2 linked regions of the Zea mays genome follow. The protein of the gene in region 2 interacts with the protein of the main gene of each other region in a pairwise test. Links are inferred from orthologs where the notes say so. Each region holds a gene or a part of one and is shown on either strand. Other genes may lie near its edges.

Region 1 (10,771 bases), about 53 Mb from region 2:
GGAGACTAGTTCATACATTTTCTGGGTGCAACAAGTTTGTGAAAAACGACGGCGCTCCATCCTATGCTCTAGTAAAATCTCATTGGGGGGGGTCCCGTCGGTCCCCGGAGCAGAGCAGCCGCACGAGCTGACGCGTCATGCCTCCAGAACCGGTCTTTGTCAGCTGGATAGGTGCCTCGGTCCGAGCGCTCGCTGGCCGCCGGCTGCTCCTTCCATTGTGTGCAGTGCAGGACGTTCCGATTCCGACGTCAGAGGTCAGATCAAACGTGGAGCTTTCTGCGTCGTGACATCAGCTCCTCCTTTTCTTTTCTTTTCTCTCTCCCATTCGTGCTGAACGACGACGGCTGCTGCTGGAAGCAACACAAGATAGAATATGGATAGAAAAAGCAGTGGACGAGGACGAGGCCACCCCCGGTCTTGGGAATGTTGCCATGCCGCCATTACTGAGGCTGTGTGCAGCGGCGTCCGCCAGACCGCTCCCTCCTCTCAATCTGGCGGCTGCAGAAGTCCTCTACGACCGCAACGACATCCTCTAAAAGGTTCCCCACGCAGCAGATGTAAACAGCAACACGCTGCAGTGAGCATGAGTTCGCCGTCCCCCTTCAACTGTGCATTTGTACGGTTGTTTTTTTAATAGGTGAAGAAAAAATGGTAATAAATGATGAATAAGATTGGATAATGATATTTTATAGTTATAGTGGGGTATAGGGGGAGAATATAGAGGAAACCGCTGCGGAAGATGAAAAAATAGGGGATGAAATGTTGATGATGTGACGCAAAAAAGTGATATAGAGGGAGAAATTTAGAGGAAACCGCTGCGGACAGTCTGACGAGAGCACTTCGACCGGCGAGACCACCATGGTGAGTGAGCCGAGCCGGGGCCGCAAACTGAGAGTGGCAATGGCGATGGTTTGTGAAAGCTCAAATATTACTCATAACAGCAGTAGAGGTGGGTAATTTAATTTATTATATAGATCCAATTGCTATTATCGGTGACGATGATTAGAGTCTACCAAATTAAAAGTTTCTGGTTATTATGAGAACTTTTTTAGTAGTTTTTTTCTAGCACGTCTACCAAATTAAACTTAACATACTTTAACGACCTATATTATTATGCTAGAATTATATATGTATTAGATAGAGGAGAGTGTTTGCTATGCTAGCACCTCTAGGTAGTGATGTGTCCTAGGCTTGATAGGAAGACTCTTGGCGTGCTCTGGCGGGAAAATAACGCTACTTTTGTTATCTTTTATGCTGACAAACAGTGTTGCTTTCTGATACCACAAAAGTGAGCCATATATATATATATATATGCTTCTCTTTTCTTTTATATATGATGCACCTAATCAGTTCAGTTTTAAACTAACTAGGTCATATATAAAATAACTGCAGGCTGAAACAAAATAACTAAGGGGATCATAACGCTACTTACTACTACCATTACCTGTTTTAGTTTTACGCCATCCTGAACCATCGTACTGCACTATCAATTAAGTACCAACAAAAACTTTACATCCGTTCAAGCCGCCTGCTCCAGGAATGGGCGAGAGCAGTAGTTGGAAGCAGCTGTGACATATAAATATATAATAATCAGATGAGTTTCACGGTGGCACGTTGCTTGTGAGGATGAGATGGTGATAGATCAACTTGATGGTTGTTCATTTTACTCCTCAAATTACTAAATATTGGGGACTAAAAGGTAATACATCAGATTTCCTCTCTTCTTTGGTCCTTTTTTTTTGTAATTTAAGGACTAAAAAAGAGAGACTAAAGTTTAGCCTCATAGAACCAAACATGCCCTCATTCTAATCCACAAATCAAATAAAAAAAGTGAGGAATGTCCTCAAACCAAACACATCCATGATATGTCTCGAGATATAACTATAATCAAACCAAACACATCCTTGGGGCCTATTTGGAAACTCTGTTTCTTAAAACCACAGTTTATAATACTACAGTTTATTGTATATCATGACATACATATGGTATATTTTATATCAGTCTAATCCAACATTCGTTTAGAAACACAGTATTTCAGTTATAGTGTAGAAGAGAAGACGTAGTTATGTACAAACAAAAAGTATTAGTAAAACCATGGTTTAAAATACATAGTTTTTAGATATGCTCCCAAATATCTTTTAGTCTAAAATAACATGTTATGCTCAAATACCACGATATTATCTTAGGATTAAGGAAATATTATGTTATGTTCTGAAACAGATCCTTAGTGTTTGCACATGATATGTCTCCGGATATAACTATAATCAGACAAAAAAAGATTGTACTCTATGACACATCCTGGACGGATACAAGAATGTCCAATCTTATAAATGCATGCCTTGTTTGATTTTCTGGGGAATGTACTCATGCGATAAAAAGGAAATGGAATTTGCGGATAGTGCCTCAATCTCAAACTTGACACCCTTTTGCAGCATTGCTTCCAACTCTGACCTGTCAAATTAGAGAATACATGTGAAATTCAGGGAGAAAATGTAAAAAATAACTCAGAATTCTTGATAGGAAATGATGCGTTTAATATCTTAAAATATAAAGTGCTTCAAACTATTGTGCCTTTACTGGTAAAAACAGGAAGCTATACAGTCATTGAAGCTAAAGATCTGGTGCTGAAGAAACTCAAACTCCAGCAACTAAATCATAAGAATGATGACTGTACAAATCAGATTCCACGAAAGCTCTAGTAAAACTCCATGCACTAATAGACCTCGATCTTGACCTGGAGATCACAATGATATCATGGAGGATATAATTGTAATACACCTAGTAAAACTCCAAAGCTGGTTCATTACTTCATTACCTCCATTCTGGGGCTTCCCTGTGTAAATAGCACCTAGCAAGAATGCCTTCAGCTTTCCTCCTATCTGCGCAGCAGAACACATGATTTCACAGGTTGGCATTTGACATACAACAAGAAACTAAGGAACATCTTCCAAAAAAAAGTATGTATGCCACTTGAATCACTACAGTTTATTCACCTTCAGGTGACAAACGAAGTAGGCAGCAGTCTGGAAGGCAATATTCTTCAAAATCAGATGTGAAAACTCCAAGCCACCGTATATCAGGGACACGCAACAAGTTTGCATCATGTGCCAATTGCTTGAAGAATGAAATTACGCAAGTAGCAGAGGTTGGTAAGTTAACACAAGTAAATATGTCATAATCTTGGGTTTCAAAGAGCAAAAAGAAATATTTTGGTCATGCTTGTGATAAGATGAGCAAAACGAGCATAATCATGTTTATTTTGAGGGGAAAAATGAACTGCTCTAATACACAGCCTTATTGCTAACGGGACTTCATAAAGTAATAGAACTTTCAAATGCAAAGAGGCCAGACAAGCTGTTGATTTAGGACGAAAGGTGCAGTATATGATCATGTCCATGGATTCGTTACCTGCAATTTTAACCTGTGAATCTGCTAAGGAAGTTAAGTTCATAGACAATAGATATAGATGAGCATAGCAGCATCAGATAAATCATGCCTACCAAGGAACCAAATTTATAGGTAGCCAGAATGTCGAAACCATAAGGATCTGAGTCCACTAAGCAATAAGCAGGCAGATGCAGCAGTTCAACAAGGTACCGCAGGAATCTAGGATGGAAAAAGAATGTAAAATTGGGATAGCGGTTGAGAAATATGCAAGAGGAACTTAATGAATAAAGAGCACATGCCTTCTTGTTGGAATATCTGGATAGCCTCTTCCCTGGGTTGACAATGCAATATCATGAAACTAGAGAAAAAATTATGAAAATTGATAACATCGGGTGAGAGTTGTTACTTACTGTAATAACAATGCAGCGATTTCTTTCACAGAACTTGTCATTGGCCAAACGCTGGAACACTGCAAAGGGACTACTGAAGCATATTGTACAAAGAGCGGAAATTATTAAATGCAAAAAAAAAAAGACCTGTCTCCTTCTCAACCACAAGTATGTAGTGGGCAACACTAACAACATCTGCAAGAGAAGAAAGAATAAGACAACTTCAGCTCACTATAATGCAATTCAGGGTATCAAGGGAGGAAATCAAAAGCTTTGCTATAGAGGTGTACTGGTGTAGGCACGTCTAAATCCGAGTTGTTAAACAACCATATAATATCTCAATTACAAAATTTGACTGGAAAAGATAAAAGGTACTCCCGATGTTTCAAATAATTCTTCACTTTAGCATTGTCCTAAGTCAAACTTCTCTAACTTTGATCAAGTTTTAGAACAATATATTATCACCTAGAAGTTCAATAAATGCATTATCAAAAGAGGACATATCTGGTGCATATGGTGCACATATTAAATCACCACCACTTATTTTATATCTAACGTCTTTAGTTGATCATTCAATTTACAAATAATACCTTCCATCACTACACACCACCACGTTGGAGGGTGTCCTTAGCAAAATATACCAAACAACTAGAGACGTTAGATCTAAATTGAGTGGTGATGATTTAATATGTGCACCATGTGCACCAATCTTTCATGTGCACCGGATATCTTCTCTTATCAAAACATATAACTAAAGTGAAGTTAGAGAGGTTTGATTTGGGACAAAGCTAGAGTGAAGTAGTAAACTATAACTTGGAAGAGGGGGAGTAGTTATTTAATTCAGAATGTAAGATTATGAATTTCTTTTAAAAAAAGAAACAAAAAATTGAAGATCTATGGTACCATTTAAGAGCAAAAAATGATCAGTGACTTTTTGCCCAGTGTGCTTCAAAACATCAAGGAAAGAGTTGATTTTTCACTACCCCCTCCCTTCTACACATTTCACAAAAGCACAAAGGGGTTGTGTTCCTAAAGTTGATGGAAAAACCTTTGATTGCCTCAATGTCAACAGGAATGGAGAAAGCCTGAATATACAGAAGGTAAAGCAAACAAATTAAATGAAATCTTATCAATAGACCAGTTAGCAAAATTAGGGGGCAGAGAACATAAAAGCTTACAGCATTGACGCTTGTTATACAATACACTTTCTTTTCGCCCTCCATAAATCTTATCCAGCCCATCACCAAACTAGGATAATGAAGGGAATAGACATGTGCACACAATTAAACAACTGAATAAATAACAAATAGTTCTATGAATATAACATCGCAAACCTAGCAAAAACAATGCAAGTAACAGCAAGTGTAATACGGAAATCATATAGAATTTCCAAATTCCTATAGTGAATTTAGTTAACACTTATGCTATATTGATTTTTTATTCAGATAAACCAAAGAGAACTCTTCATGAATTCAGACATGTTCTGTATCAAAAAAAATATATCTCAAAGTTGTGAACTGACACTGGGAAGAACAACAGATCCATCATGGCATCATTTCTTCCTCCTCTTCATATGCATAAACCTATACGGCTAAGACTACATTGAAAGAACGGTATCCCAGGTTCCCAACCCCACTAGCTCATCAAACACATCCAAATCATCTTTCTTTATATAATGGTGAGAAGCACACAGGATGATTAAGGAACAAAAAAAAACGGGTTTATTTAAGTTATAAAAAAATGAAGCGTTGTAAAATAATAGAAGAATAACAAACGGACATATCTTCAGAGCTTCAACTCTATGACAGTTCATACCCTTTCACTACAGGAACCTGCAGAGAGCCAAGGGAGCACAGTATTCAGTCAGATAAAAGGTTATGAAATTAAGACAGTATGTAATAGTCATGGTGCTGCATATTAGTGAAGGAGCAAATATCGTTGATGGCACAAGTCCTTTCTACAATACACAATGGAAGCTTCAGGGAAGACAGCAGACTAGTGGCACCTATGGACCTACCACGTTGAGATTGTGCCGGCTGCACTTGAAGAGTATGCAGATATCGTTGATGGCACGGTCAACAACTGCTACTTCTGCAGGGAGCCAAGATATGTGCAAATTCTAGTAATCCCGTATAATGGAATGAGGAGCAAACATTGCACCTACTGAGCACAGACCTACGAAGATGGAGGGGTACATGTAGTAGATGTCCCTCTTGGAGCAGTGCTTGTTCTGCTGCAGGAGCTGCTGCACCACGAACAGCACCCTCAGGAGCACATCTACGCATGAACAACGCATCAGAAAGTAATTAGTGTGATCACATAAATGCAAAGATTTAGATGTATTCGTACTGAGGCGGGAGGTGTGGTAGTCCTTGTGGAGCAGAGAGAGGACGTCCGTGCCGACGGGGATGTCGTAGCTGCAGGCACTGCAATCACGCACGAGCGCGCGCCCAGGGTCTACGGATGTCACACATTTGGGTGAAAATTGTTCGAGGGATGTGACGGTGAATTGGTCGGGAAGGAGATGATCCCGGGAGCGGGCGCGGAAGCTAAACCATGGGGACGGGGACGCAGAGTCGGCGGAGGAGCAATAGTTCCGGTACCGGTGGAGCACTATAGACGGGGAGCGGCCGGCGGCAACCTCTTCGACGATCCAGCGCACAAGCCCTGCACCATCCCCAACCGCGCGTCAGCTCCAGACGCTACAGGAGAGAGGGAAGATTTAAGGGCAGGCGATCGAGGAGATGAGTAACAAAACCTTTGATCCTGCGGAGGAGGAGCGCCGCTTCCTCCAGCCTCCGCCGCAACTGCTGCTCGTCGCCTTCGAGCGGCGCCGCTCGTCGCCTCTTATCCCTCCCCGCCATGGCGCTAGTTTTTTATTTTGATTTTTTCGAAGCCGCCATGGAGCTAATCAGCTAATCGATCGCGAAGAAACAGAATTAGGCTTAGTGGGCTCCGTTGGACTGCGTGGGCCTTCAAGAGCCCAACAACGAAGCCACCCTTCTCAAGAGGCGTAAATTGCCCTCAAGAAGAGAATACATAGACAAAGCATGGAGCCCATTCTTTATTCTCTGAATAAATTATCACTTTATCAGTATATATAGTCCTCTCAAGACAAAAAATTAACAAGAGACTAAGCACATATCTACTAAGATATAATTACTAGGATTAGGATTCCTCTTCTCCTATACTAGAAGTCCGTATGTTTTTCAGAATATCAGTCACTTGGCCAGAGGTACACCCTACACCCGAGAATTTGACACGGCCGAACCGTCACTGCAGTTCCAGGAGCATCAGTGTCAGAATTTACTTGGCGAAGGCTTGGACCGCTTGCTGCTGAGCTGGGCGACCGGGAACTCTATCAGGATGATGAACGAAGAGGTGTCGGCTTCTCGTAGGTACTGCAACGTGCCGCTCATCGTTTTCACCAGCTTCTGGCTTATGTACAGGCCGAGACCCTCCCTGGACACCCCTGGGTTGTGCTGGAACATCTCCTGTATCAGGGCCTCTGGAACGCCTGGAGCTGGATGGACAATCCTGCACATTGAGTCAATCAGTTACACAGCTCCCATCACCACCAATACTCGCATTCGCCACATTGCAGTGTATATAGAATGGCAGGGATAGCGCCAATTTTACACAGGGATCATTTCCATTGTTTCAAACTGCAAAGTGTAACTACATGCCTGAAGTGACATGTATCACTGCATCTTGGCTGGTGCAGTGACCAGGATAGATTCGACTCCTCGTGGGAGCGAATTTTAAGCTGAGTAAGCAGAGGTCTAAGGACCGGTCCCGGTCGTTCTCACATGGGCTATAATATCACTTTGTATGGATGTGACAGGGGTTCAGGGTTTTCTTGACCTACGTGAGAAGGTCGAATTTTTTTTAGGAGTTAAGATGTTCAGAAGTGAATTTGCTAGCATTAGGTCTTATCTGTTCCTTGTCAACATACAATCCTTTTCGTGGATTATAACTAACACAATTAGGAGCACTGCGAAAGTTATTTACAAGAGACAAATGTTGGAGTTGTGCTGAGTTAATAGAAACTAGATGTACAATTTAGTAGTTCACTTATTTGTCAAATCATCCTTTCAGTTCAAGAACAGCTATCGAAAGACCAAGATGAGAGTGCCGTATTACCTGAATTCCAAATGAGCAATCTGCATGCCAGACCCAATGTTTTCCTTCTTGGGAATGACCTGGAGCACGATATGTCCTTCAGCTGGTTGTGTGAATTGAAGGGCGCAAGCCAGATAATCTGCTAGGACCTGCTGAAGCCTTATATTGTCCCCGTAAATGTACATGTGTGACACTTCCACAGGCCAATCACGTTCAATAGAAATACGTTTTTCCTTGCCCAAAGGAATGCCTTGCATCAGGACCGTATTCAGAGCTTCCTCAAGGTTGAACTCTACTGTGTTCGTCTCCATATAGCTGTAACAGCAAGAATTTGTTTACCAATAGTTTAAAAAAATTGCCATGCATGTATAACTGAACTGGTCAGCCTTTTCATATGTATACATCTTTAGCACTACAAAGCATTAGTACAATGAACAAAAAATTCATGTCTGAGCAATTCTAATCATGTGAATATGAAAGCAAGTATATATCTTTATGTATAGTGTATGCTGTTTATAGATCCCTTCTAGAACTGCCACAAAAACGACACAAATAATTAAATCAACATTGCTACAGATGATTCGGACAATACAGAACTTACCACTGTTCAATGCTTTCAAGATCAGTGTCATGTAAAATCTTTTTCAGCTGGTCCTGACACAGAACATTAGATGAAACAAGTTGCCGCTGATCCTCTGTCAATTCGGAAGGCTTCAATAAGTTATAAGTAAATTGCATGCCATTGAGTGGGTTCCTTAATTCTTGACGAATGTAAGTTAATTCTTTAAAGCTGTTTGTAGCAGCTTGTTCAGACATTTTCTGGACCTCAAGAGCATGCTGAAGCTCTGGGCTAGCCACATGCAGAAAGCAAAGAGCGCCAGTGATTTTACCCTCAGCATTTGTTCTCTTGTTCACTGTCAGCAAGGATTCAATATACTTCCCACCTGTGCCGAAGAAACCAAACAGGAGCTTCTCTGGATCCTGACCAGAAATCACTGCATTCATCAGTATGCTAAGTTTCGTTAGAGTAGCATGATCTTTCACCCTACAGCCATAATCATGGAGCGTGAAGACCTCCCCAATTAACAACTTATTTATCGCGTCTTCCCTCTTCATACCAGTAATCTTCTGCATAGCTTTATTCCACTCTAAGCAGGAACCAAGATCATTGATCATAAATATGGGAGGGATGAGCTCACTGGGGTTCTTTATTATGGCAACATAGTCTCCTTGTATCCTAGTATACTTATCCATAATCATCTTCTGCCTGGTCAAATCTTGTGCTACAAAGCAAACTCCAATGACTTTCTCTGAAAGATCCCGACTACAGCAGGAGTTAATCATCAAGATAACTGGACCACAACACTCCTGTTCATGGAATGTTTTAAGCTTGATTTCCAGATTTTGCTCTTCAATTCCTGAAACACAAGGAGACACTAAGCTGTCATAGAAAAAAATGGACACGTTCAGATTAAGCTGGGAACCACAAAAAGATCGACTGAAAGCATAGTGACAAACCTTGTAAAGCTGAGTCCAAAATCTGCTTAACCACTTCAACAGAATCAGCAACAACAAGATCTATCAGAGGCCTCCCTATGGCTTCCATTACAGGTAACCCTGTTAGTTCTGCAGCTTTTTTGTTCCATCCATTTATGTTACCGGCAATGTCAACAGCCAAGACAGGGGCAGTTGCTGTCTCAATTAAGCGGACCATCTCGTTTGTAACTGTTCTTAGTTCAAGTAGCCCCTGTAACTTCTTCATATCATCAGATGGAGCTTTTACAATGGACCTGATGTTGTTTCTGTTGGCATCTTCACCTTGCAGGGAGTCACGTAATATTAACTGCAAAGAATGGATAGCATCCATTTCAACATCCTCCCAGGGAACACTTCTCCATTTAACCACCTCCAAGAAGGCCTTGAATGAAGATCGTGGATGCATCTTCCTGCCATTGTCATCTGCGTCAAACGGTTCATGCTTAGCCCCACTCCACTTGATCTCCTTTGTTGTGTGTGATCGGAACCAGAAGATAAAATTTTTGGAAGAGATCTTAATGGCCACCATGCCACACACGACTTCACGGAGTGCAGCAGCACCAGGATAACCCGCTTCCACTAAGCTGTCAGTACTCAGCCCAGTTGAACCATCATGGTTCTCCTGCAGCCATGTGGCAATGCTCTTAATCTCTGACTCGGACGGTGTTGATCCGAGCACCAAAACCTGGTTCTGATAATACAATGCAGCTCCATCGCACTTTACTAGATCCATCACATTAGGTGACTGGGTAAATATCCCAACAAGAGCATCCCGCAGGAGCATATCACAAAGAAGGGTTTGCGTTCTGAGGATGTGCCTCTCCTTTGCCTGAGCAGCCAGTTCCACCTCCTTGCTGAGCTGTATGCCAAATACTTGCAAGAGAAACTCGCAAGCGTACCTTAGCGGGAAAGGGACAAACCTCGGGCTTGTATGATGGCAGACGACCAGCCCCCACAGCTTCCTGCCTTTCGGTTGTTGGTCACTGTCGGTATCCCCATCTTCCTCCTCATCGTCGTTTATAGTGACTGACATCACAAGCGATGCAACAGAACCCATGTTTGCCATGTACTGTGCATGGCAACCATGGGAAGCCCTGAGGGTAGAACCACAGAGGCTGACGGGCTGTGCAAGGCTGCCATCCTGAATGATCAGCACTGGAGTGGCAGAGAAATCACATATCATCCGCATTTTGTTCTTCATAAACAGAAACCTGGACGCCTGCGGGATGTCGGTGGCTGGGTAGTGCAGGCCAAGATACGGCTCCAGATCGGACCTCCTGCACTCAGAAATGACCTCACCGTGCTCATCCTCATGGAACTTGTACGCCATGACCCGG
Region 2 (10,716 bases):
AAGTTGCCCCAAGACTAGTTTTGATTAAACTGTAGAAGTTTTGGAAAGGCTGCAGGCTGCAGCTATATTCCGTTTAATTATTTAATTTCTGCAATTACGTTTTCTAAACATTGACGTAGCAACTGCTACTTAAACCGCCTCGAGTTCAGCGAGCGGGTTTAGTGGAGTCTGGGCTACAACAATTAGAGATTAGAGATGGCAACAGGTATATATTTATTATCGGATTATCTATATACGCTCTTAGTACTAAATCTACTCATACTTATACCCCATGCTCCATGGGTAACCCATACTCGCTAAGAAGATCTTAAATTATAATATTCCGAACACTCAAATGTCAAATAAATACATAAAAATAAGTTTAACCTGAAATATAACAAACCAAATGATTACATAACTTGAAAGTTAAATAAACGATAGTCGAAAAAGGGTTTTATTTTAATTTTATTAGATAATAATAGTTGTATGGTACAGATATATTTTACTCACGGATATACGGTGCGTGTATCGTACCGTTTATCCAACGGGCAGGGATTGTTGTTCATTAACATATCCACCAATATAAAAATCATCTCATATCCACCTACATAAGTATTCGGGTTTTCGACACCCATTGCCATCTCTAACTACACTACAACTCTACGAGACGGTAGACGGGTGAAAACAACGCTAGAAATCGGAAGCCATGTCTTCATCTCCACCTCCTTCGTCCAGCTCGCTATCTTCATCCAGCTTCTCGCATTCGAACAGATAAGGCACGTTGTCCTCTGAATTATCCTTGGTGTCATTTATCTCTATGATGCGGATCATCTTCTCGCAGATCGACGACTGAACAGCTCCTCCAGAGACGTCTTGTTCGGAGCCTAGCCCAAGAAGCGCAAAGCATTCGCCTTGGAACTCTTCATCGGTGGATGACAAGATCAGCCCAGCGATTGATTCCGCAAGGTCAGGAACGTATTCACGAACCTGAAATGACATAATGAACCGAATGATTTAGAGTGCTTATTATGATACAACCTGAAATGATATAACTAACATATGGTATTCTTTTCATGATAGAATTTTATGGTGCTTATTATGATGTCACGCTTAGCTTATCTTTCTCTATACTAACTCTAATAAATAGGTGACCATTTGCAGCGTAGTTGCGTAGTTGATAGAATAAGACAAATTGTCCTAAGTGTATGATGGCACTTTAGCCTTAGCTTCTACCCAAATAGCAACATAATTTCTTCAGTCCAAAAAACATACTGAATAAGTTAATCAATAGTAGTAAAAAACTAAGAAATATGTACAAAGTGCATACCCTCTGGCCATGGCAACTAAGAAAATCTCCTGCATGATCTGCTTTCAAGTGAGTTAGAGCAGATTTGAGTGCCTTCCTCAAAAGGTATCTATCCTGTGGAGATCCCTGCCGTTCTTGCATAGCAGTGGCTGGAGAAAGTCAAGGATAGACAGAAAATCCACCCTCTACATATAGATTGAGCTTTCACTGAAAAAAATAACTTGTGGATGAAAACAAAAAGAGGATGAAGTGTGCAAACTGGATATCATTCGTGGTAAGTATGAATGGAAATATCAATACGAGCAAATGCCATGTTATCCCACTCGAGAACAGCGTTTCCGTCATCACCCATCAAACCTCCTTTTAACTTGAAACCATAGCTTTGCCAGTCTGTGCTCATCAACACATCAAAAGAGGACTGCAATATCTGACAAGGTACAAAATCTTCAAAGTACAAAACCTGCAATTGTTGCAGCCAACAATGGCATAAACTATAAGCTCAGTTGAATCATGCTTAACTCTAATATACTTTACGAGAGTTATTGTACTGTTAGTAAGTAAGTTATAAGTCAAACGAACAAGTCATTTCCATTGTCAAATTAAAATAAGATTGTCTTGGCATGGGGAATGTACCGCACTAGGGCCTAGGAGAAAAAACTATTTAGGAAATGAAAATGTATAACTAAAACCTTCGTGGTTCAAACCTGCGTGGACGAGCAATTTGCCATACAACAATCTGAATCAGATGCAATATGTGCAATCACTATGACTACTTCAACATGTAGTCGGTTAGCTTTTCTTCTTTCTACATGGTTTGCTGCTCCAGTTCCAATCTTTAGAAGATCTCTGAAGTAAGAAGGAAGAAAAACTAAAACTTACTAATCATGTTATGGAAGCACACCAATCTGTCCTGACCCGTGAGGATGCATAACACCACACTCAGATGATATGCAAGTGTTCATTAGCATGCCAATGAGTGAATAGACAACAGACCAGACTACATAAAGGTTTGGACATAGGAGCTTAGCACATGCATGCCAGAAAGGCCGAGAGAATGGGCTTGGGCTTGGGCTTGGGCTTGGGCGATTAAGAAATGGGCAAATACACAGTGAAGCATGGGATGCTGTTGCATGTGGGCTGCCATCAACAATTTTCTCATGGTTAAATATAGGAAAGAAGATACAAAAGATCTAATGCTAACAAGTGTGAAAATATATCTTAAACACAAATCATGCTAACAAGTGTGAAAATATGTCTTAAACACAAATGAATGCAAATTTCTTAAAAAAATCAACGAATGCAAACATAGCACATAGCAGTGATTCTTGGTTAGCTTTCTCACATAGGGCTATACCTAAAACAAAAAACATGATGTCAATGGACCTGAAAAAAGGAAAAAAATATACAATTGAATTCAAAGAATAATGGAAAAAGCGATCTGCTTAACAAGATTTATCAACAGCAAACTCCAAAGAACACGGAAAAGAGATTCCAGAAATATCATTTAGCTTTCTAAATTGTGAGTTCAGGAAAAAAGCTAGAAATGAATACAGATGATAAACTACTGATGAAAGATTCAAATAAAGACAGATAGCAGAAAAATATGATTTGGTTTTTAAAACATCTCATTTTGAGTAAAGACTAGAAGTAATTATAAACAGAATATTGGTAAGCTCAGAAAAGGGACACAAGCAAATCAAAAAGCACAACCCCTACCTAGATGCCCCCAGGTAAGAATAAGGGTGACTTCAGCATGAAAATTTTGGAGCATATATTAGCAAATTCAGTAAAATTATCTTAGCAGCATAGTAGTATGAGAAAAATATGTAAGACAGTCATGATGGAAAGGTTTTTTTACCTATCAAATAAGCACATGCCACACTTGTCGCAAGAATTTACATGGGAGAGTGAGTAGTCTTTAAGACCAGAAACTAGCTGGTCAATACTTGATGCCGTAACAGAATGATGCACATCATCAGAATCTTGTGGTAGACAGACATTTCTGGAACCAGTGTTGCCTGTTTGCTCAACAAAGAGCTCACATGCTAAATTCTAAGTACAAAATAAACAGCCAAACAGGAACTTAAGTTGTCAGCTTAAGGAAAAAGAGGCAAAACAGAGATTCTCAAGGTACATGCGTCCTTGATACTCAACAATCGAAACTGAAAATATTCCACAACCAATTCAAGTTAAATGTCACACTCGGACGGTCACACCACAAGTGACCGACAGCTGAAAAATGGTAATCACTTTTAGACCTGTTATGTTTTTTTGTTTCAGTTAATCAGCTCAAGGACATATATACACCTATTTAGTTTATTGATAACCTTTTTTCCAAGATACTTGTTACCAATATATCCGTAGCCAATGCACTTCTAATCAACTATCTCCAGCCATTGACAATATCAAATATATGTTGCATTCTAAATGTATTCATGTTCTTATCTAGGAGGTTTCAACTTCTAGAATCATGTTGTTGTTTTTTTCCAATCCATCATAATAAACATTGACGCGAAAGGGCCTCTAGCTGAATTGGTTAGGTGGTATGAGTAGCACTCTTCAGGTCATGAGTTCGACTAAGCGAATTTCAAGCTAGGATTAAAAAATCCTCTCGTCTGTCCCACGCCAACGCACAAGTCTAAGGTCTAGCCCTGGCCGCGACCGTTCTCACATGGGCTACGGTACCGTTGTATATGGTGGGACGGAGGTTTGGGGTTTTCTCGATCTGCATGAAGTCTTCTTAATTGTAATGCCGTGGGGCAGTCTTACCCTCCGCAGGTCGAGTTTTTATAATAAACATTGACATAAGCAAATTTGGACATCAGTTTGTTTCAGTCAAACAAAGCCATACCCACACAAATATATTAAAACGTATGCTTCATATCCTACTTATTACCAAAAAAGAATGAATCATACCTAAAAGTACAAACATGTAAAGAACTACAATAAAACTAAGCCTCATGAAGTGAATAGGTATAATGCAACCGGTGTGTTTGAAATTTTTAAGATCTGGATGGCATTAAATTTACTATTGTTTGATTAAACAATACAAAGGCAAATTAAGATGAATATGCTAAAAGGCAACTAAACTAACTTAACCCTTTGAATTAGAAAGAAAAACATAAGATAATACACATCAAACAGCTTTGTTAATCAAACTGAAGAAATTAAGGATAAGTAAATCTGAGATTGCATAAGAGTAGAAATAAGCCATTTAAGCTGCAAAGGAGCATTGAAAATGAAAGTGTGAAATACTACACTTCCAACTTGAGGAAAGATAACAGTTCAGATATACTTACTGCTGCTCTTAGCACTTGTATCTGCACAGGTTAAGAAAAAAATATCAGCTCAGACATAATGGAGCCAACAACACAAAAGTGACATACTTAGCTGCGCAAAATTGACACTTAATTCTACCGTCTTTGCCAATATATTCTACAAATACCCTACCATAAGATCATTATTAGGATTCTAATAATTATATGTTGAGAAATCACCTTTTTGAAGAAACAAACCAACCATAATACAAAATCATCAACATCAGCATCATTTGAGAGACAAAGGCAGACTTCAGTTCCACTGTGTTGAGAAACATATCCACAATTTAATCAATCAAGGTATTCATTAGTCACATCAAACTAAAAACAGACAGCGTACCTGAATCGTGCATGATTTTTGTATGCGGTAGCCAACTTGCTAAATCTTGCACTTGATGTCTCTTCTTGAAGATTAATTTGATAACGATAAATGGCTTCATCATTGATTCCTGAATAATGGGCAAGAAATCATCAATGACTGCACTCACAATATCACAAATGAAACAAAAACAGCCTTCTCAGATATTTTTTGCCTTTTGGTACTGATTTGTACACCCAAGAAGTGTGCTAATAATTCCGTCATCTAAATAGATATACGTAGGTAGAAGAAAACTTTGATGTACTCTTCTACTATATAATCATGTGTGTTTTTAGGTTTAGAACTTGCATATTATGACAAACTGTAACGAAAACTACATCACAAAAGAAGAAAACATATAAGGAGAAGAAAAAAGCATGAATAACAAATGAAAGTAGTGAGGAAATCAAGATATGAGAAAATTTCAGTGAATCGCGGTGAGAGTCTGACCACCGAATGCTCCCATCTTTATTAGGATTCCATTTATCTGTTTCTTACCATTGCTACCAAGTTTATCATTTTTTTTGTCAGGTGAATTCTCAAGATACCAACCTGCTCTGTTGGACCAGCACAACCAACCAACCAATTTAGAATATGTAGAATTAATGAACTCCTAGTACAGTACTTCGCATCAACCGATATTCATAACACAAACAGAACACTGAACTACATCGTGCAGTGAAACAGAAAACATACCAGTAGTTGTGACTAAGAGTGTGCCATCTGCAAAGCAGATAGAAACCACATAAGACAAAGGAAGATGAACGAAAAACAAGAATTACTCCATTTCTGTTGTCCAAGTCATTGTCAGTTGTCACTCAAAAGTTGGTACTCCATCTGAAGATTCATTTAAAACTATGGCCGTTAAGGACAGTGTAAGTAAAGAACATTTGACCACCTTACCATCGAACAATCTTTAATTCTGGATGTATTAACATTATTATAAACGAATGTCAAGTCGTAATCACTAATCGCATTGATCTGGACGAGCAGGTGAGCATCACAGTGATCACATACCCCATCTCTCTACGGGAATCTCACGCGCCAGGGCGTCGAGCTCCAGGAACTCCTCCAGTTTGCTCCCCACCCCCGTGTCCGAAACTGCGATAGTCCACCAAATGTTTGCGTTAAACTAATGTTACACGGCAACGTAATAATCGGAATTAAGGATGGAACGCCGCCGCAGACTTTGTTACCGGAGACGCGCAGCGGCGGGGAGCTGGCGGGTTCGGCGGGGCGCTTGAGGGAGACCGTGAGCCGGCACGGCAACTCCGACATCCGGCAGCGCTGCACCGCCCAGTACACCAGCTGAAACAGAGGCGCGGAAAATTCTGTTAGGAGGTGTAGTTTGGAATTGAGATCGGAAATGGGAGGGGTTTATCGGGTGCGGGGCAGAGAGAGGTTTACGGAGTGGAGCAACTTCCGGTGGGGAGAGGAGGTTGACGCCATGGTTAGGTTGAGCGACAACGCCCGGTGCTTCGGCTGGCGGAGCAGATTACAAAAAGAAAGCTATGGATCGTTGAGCCGGTCGCCGGAATTCCGCCGCCGTATCGGCGCGCGCCAACCTCGCCGCTCCCGTCTCCCCGGAATTTCTCCCCCTGGAAGAGGACGGACACCAGGATGGGCCGTGAACGTCTGAACGAATTGCGGTAGATGGGCTGACAGAAAAGCCCAATGCATGGAAGGTCGGCCCAGTATAATTGGCGAGCTCGGCAGGTGGACCGTGGATCTTGTGCTCCAATCCAACTGAGAGGTATGTGTAGCCCAAGAGTCGTTTAGGACCGCTAGAGAACACAGTAATTTTGTATGGATATCAGAATTTCTGGAATTTCACAAAAACATAAGGTAAAAAAATTCTCGCGTTTCAAACCGGATATGGGCCGGATAGACGTGATCGGACGTCACATGGGCCGGCCGCGAATAAAAAAAAGAACGGGACAAGTCGACGTTATAATAAAAAAAATACTAATAAGAGGTTGACATGTGGGCTCGGGACATGCGGGGTCTACGTGTCAGCGTCCCGGTCACAGAATCACATCTTCCTGGCCGCCATCCGCCGGACGGAGCACCGGACCCGCCGTACGCCTCCGTGCTCTCGCTCGCCGAGGCCTCTCCGCGGGCCGCAGCGCGGTTCCGCCTCGGTGGCCGCCGGAGCTGCTGCCTGGCCACAAGAAGCCGTCGCTCTCCCAGCTTTGAACCGGTTCCGATCCGCACCACGGAGAAGCCCCCGCCTCGGGAGTCTCGCGTCGCCCCGATGAAGGTGGAGCTCGCCGCGCAGACCTCCCAGACGAGCACGCCCCTGCCGCCGTCCCCTGAAGCCGCTTCTGCGTCGCCCCCGGCGGAGGATGCGCCGCTCCTCCCCGACGCGGGCGTGCGGCGCCGGGCGGCGTGCGGGCGGTTCGCGCAGCGCAGCGGCTCCTTCCGCCGCGAAGTCGGCCGGGCCGCCGCCGAGACCTTCCTCCTCACGAGGCTCACCCTGATCCTCCTCCGCTACCTCGGGTACGCATCAACTCCGCTGCTCTGAAACTAGTGTACTGCAACCTCTACTTGGACTTGGACAGTTTCGCCTGTGCATTGCTTGCTCTCCTGGTACACCTACGTGCTCAATGTCATTTGCAAATTTGTATGCGCAGAAAGAATGTATGTGTTGAAAAAAAAACGGGACAATTTGTGTGACCTTCCATATTTATCATCAATCTAAGTGATATATTCTAGATATAAGTTGATTGGAAGCGTGTTCAGACGGCCTTGTACGAGACTACATGCTTTTGGTCAGTTTATTGTAATAACTTGTTAAATTTATGCAGGATAGGCTACAGATGGATTCGGCAGTTCCTAGCCCTCTGCTGTTATACCCTCTTGCTGATGCCAGGTTTTATTCAAGGTTGGCGTTGCTCCAGATTTGCCATTGTTTTCTTATCTGCTTAGAATTGTACTCATACACTGCACCTGACTGTGCTACTACCTTAATGGATTTTGCTCTACTCCAGTTGTATATTATTATTTCTTCTCTAGCCAAGTTCATAGAAGTGTTGTATATGGAGATCAGCCAAGAAACAGGTACTTTATTTGATTCTACTACCATTAACTAATATTTCTGCTTGATAAACCATGCAATTAAGTTTTATTGCAGATTGGACCTGTATATGCCCACTAGTACAACAGGGTTAAAGCCGGTCGTTGCGTTTGTGACTGGTGGAGCGTGGATCATAGGGTGAGTGGAAGTATGTACTATCTTGAACCCCTAACCATTTTTTGATATTCTTGCTATTGCAAAGTCTGATTCTGCCTTGACTCAATGACTCTGCATATCAAATTGTATATTTCTCAGTTACAAAGGGTGGGGAGCCCTTTTAGGCAGACGCTTAGCAGAAAGGGGCATCATAGTTGCATGCATTGATTACAGGTACTCTGAATGTATTTCCAATTATGCAAAGCAGCATAATCATTCAGGCCATTGTCACTGAGGATGTAAATGCTTTGTTTTCAGAAACTTTCCTCAAGGGACTATTGGTGACATGGTAGAAGATGCTTCTCAAGGAATAGCTTTTGTCTGCAAGAATATAACAAGTTATGGAGGTGATCCTAGCAGGTTTATAGCCTATCCTTGTGTGCATATTTGCTTACAATAAAAAACTGAAATAGTTCTTGGCTCTTGCTTTTTTTCCAAAATATTTATGTTCCTAAAAGAAACATGCAGTGTATAAAAAAAACTGAATGCAAAATACCTCTGTTCTGAGATGATATATTTAAAGTACTTGTTCTTACATATGCAGGATATATCTTGTTGGACAATCAGCTGGTGCACATATTGCTGCTTGTGCTCTCTTAAATCAGGCCATTAGAGAATCCGGTGAAGGAGATACTTCCTCTTGGAGTGTATCACAGCTAAAAGCTTACTTTGGTATTTCTGGCGGGTAAAACATTCATGTCTCTTAATATTATATAGCTTACAGAACAAAAAAAATGCTATTTCTATTTGAATTTGTGCATAGTGTCAGTTGTCACGGGTCTAAATAGCATTGGTGGGTCACTGAGGTGTTGGGCCCAAAACGGACCAGGCCTAATGTGAACCCTGAACCATACCCATGGCTCATGGGTACAATAGATCAGCATAAAACCCATCTAGGTCTAGGATTAGGGAAAGTCCAGGAGATAGGATTGCTTGTAAGTCAAGTCGAGTCAGGTTGGATCCTCCCTATAAGTATAACGGAAGATGTATGTGTGTTGAGATTAAGCAAGAATAATCTAGAGGAAACCTTCAACCTCTCTCCCCTCTTCTCTCTCAAGCCCCGACGGCCACACCACCCACCATGACAGCCTCCCCCTGCTGCTGCCCCCTCCCTTTAATCTCCCTAATTCCCCTAATTGTACCTCCAATCCTTCTCCCAAGTGCCTCAATAGTAGATCTGTTACATCAGTAGATTTTTCTAATATTTGCAGCCCTGCCAATTAGAGTAGGTTTCTAGCTGTAATCTATATGTCATTGTGAAGTGGAGAGACTATATGACTACTCTACATTCAGTTGATGAATTTAGCCTTTTCAGTAGTGAGTGGGATGACAACTTATAAGATCCTTTTATACAATGCTATAAATTATGGACCTTTAAGCACTGTACTTTAGCATTTATTCATGTGCCGCTCATTAGATTGAATAGAAGACAGTGTTCTGTACAGACAAAAAATGAATCAGTTGGTGAAACGGGCTTCAACTTTTTGTGTATGATCTTTACAGGTACAACCTCCTTAACTTGGTTGATCATTTTCATAGACGTGGCCTTTACCGGTCTATCTTTCTCAGGTTCACTGTTAGTATTTGTTCATGTCTTGTAATAAAATCGTGATCCTGTGAGTGTATTATGACTTCATTTTGATCATATCCTTGCAGTATCATGGAAGGTGAAGTATCACTCCAGAAATTCTCTCCACAAATGATGATTATGGAGTCATCTGCTAGGTCTGCAGTTTCTTTATTGCCTCGCATCATCCTTTTCCACGGAACAAGTGATTATTCAATACCTCCAGCTGAAAGGTGTGTCACAAAGTTTACATTTATTTAACATTGTGTATTGTAGATCCATTTTGTTTCTGTTTTACACGGTTAAGGTACTGTTAGGATATTAAATAAAATAAAATAAAAGGGGACATTTGTGTGTGCAAGCAGTAGAGGTAGAGGACAGTTAACTAGTTAACTCTTGCTTCTTATGTTTATCCCACTTTTAAAGCTGTCCTTTTCAAATCCATTGTTTGGAATCACTTCAATATGTAAACCTTTTGTCATAAGGTACGCTGTATTAATTTGATTTTTAATTCAAAAATGCAGCCAAGCATTTGCTGATGCTTTACAACAGCAAGGCGCAAGGGCAGATCTATTTCTGTACGAAGGGAAGACGCATACTGATTTGTTCCTTCAGGTAGCCATCGTGCAGAAGTGCTATTCGGGTTTTCTTTATTTTCAAAATCGATAGTAATGGTAATTTTGAACTCAGCACAGTCTTGCTTTGTGGAGGACCCTTCCTTTTTCTTGGCCCCAAGTGATTGTAAGTTGCTTTCGTCACTGTTTTTGCAGCAACTAATTAATGTTGTGCGCAGGATCCTCTTCGGGGCGGCAGAGATAAAATGCTGGAAGAGATCGCCCGTGTGATACACAGTGAGGATCCAGACGCTGCTGCCCAGCACCTCGTCGTTGTGCCTGTTGCAAGGCGCCTTGTACCCGAGTTCATGCTGAAGCTTGCTGGGAGAGTAAGCCCTTTCTG

The links.
Region 1: the proteins of type 2 DNA topoisomerase 6 subunit B-like (region 2) and meiotic recombination protein SPO11 interact in binary tests that used the Arabidopsis thaliana proteins (3 or more experiments, as listed by UniProt). The link is inferred for Zea mays from reciprocal best matches to the Arabidopsis thaliana genes AT1G60460 and ATSPO11-1.

The regions. Positions count from the first base shown.
Region 1 is NC_050100.1:7,551,599-7,562,369, forward strand, and holds meiotic recombination protein SPO11, read right to left. Parts: upstream 6,654-10,771; 5' UTR 6,641-6,653; coding exon 6,535-6,640; intron 6,444-6,534; coding exon 6,332-6,443; coding exon of another isoform or gene 6,203-6,331; coding exon 6,126-6,202; intron 6,054-6,125; coding exon 5,952-6,053; intron 5,868-5,951; coding exon 5,794-5,867; intron 5,609-5,793; coding exon 5,592-5,608; intron 5,025-5,591; coding exon 4,955-5,024; intron 4,862-4,954; coding exon 4,825-4,861; intron 3,972-4,824; coding exon 3,924-3,971; intron 3,857-3,923; coding exon 3,798-3,856; intron 3,719-3,797; coding exon 3,687-3,718; intron 3,607-3,686; coding exon 3,501-3,606; intron 3,115-3,500; coding exon 2,994-3,114; intron 2,880-2,993; coding exon 2,816-2,879; intron 2,452-2,815; coding exon 2,325-2,451; coding exon of another isoform or gene 2,225-2,324; 3' UTR 2,184-2,224; downstream 1-2,183. Other genes in the region: phytochromeC2, read right to left, coding at 7,076-7,313, 7,920-8,213, 8,500-9,316, 9,417-10,771. UniProt on the Arabidopsis thaliana protein: Component of a topoisomerase 6 complex specifically required for meiotic recombination. Together with MTOPVIB, mediates DNA cleavage that forms the double-strand breaks (DSB) that initiate meiotic recombination.
Region 2 is NC_050100.1:60,880,180-60,890,895, reverse strand, and holds type 2 DNA topoisomerase 6 subunit B-like, read right to left. Parts: upstream 6,593-10,716; 5' UTR 6,410-6,592; coding exon 6,368-6,409; intron 6,269-6,367; coding exon 6,157-6,268; intron 6,062-6,156; coding exon 5,978-6,061; intron 5,684-5,977; coding exon 5,657-5,683; intron 5,052-5,656; coding exon 4,943-5,051; intron 4,865-4,942; coding exon 4,783-4,864; intron 4,606-4,782; coding exon 4,585-4,605; intron 3,338-4,584; coding exon 3,144-3,337; intron 2,132-3,143; coding exon 1,990-2,131; intron 1,746-1,989; coding exon 1,552-1,745; intron 1,431-1,551; coding exon 1,307-1,430; intron 967-1,306; coding exon 670-966; 3' UTR 418-669; downstream 1-417. Other genes in the region: probable isoprenylcysteine alpha-carbonyl methylesterase ICMEL1, read left to right, coding at 6,942-7,459, 7,768-7,844, 7,951-8,020, 8,094-8,174, 8,292-8,366, 8,451-8,552, 8,737-8,877, 9,696-9,761 and 3 more.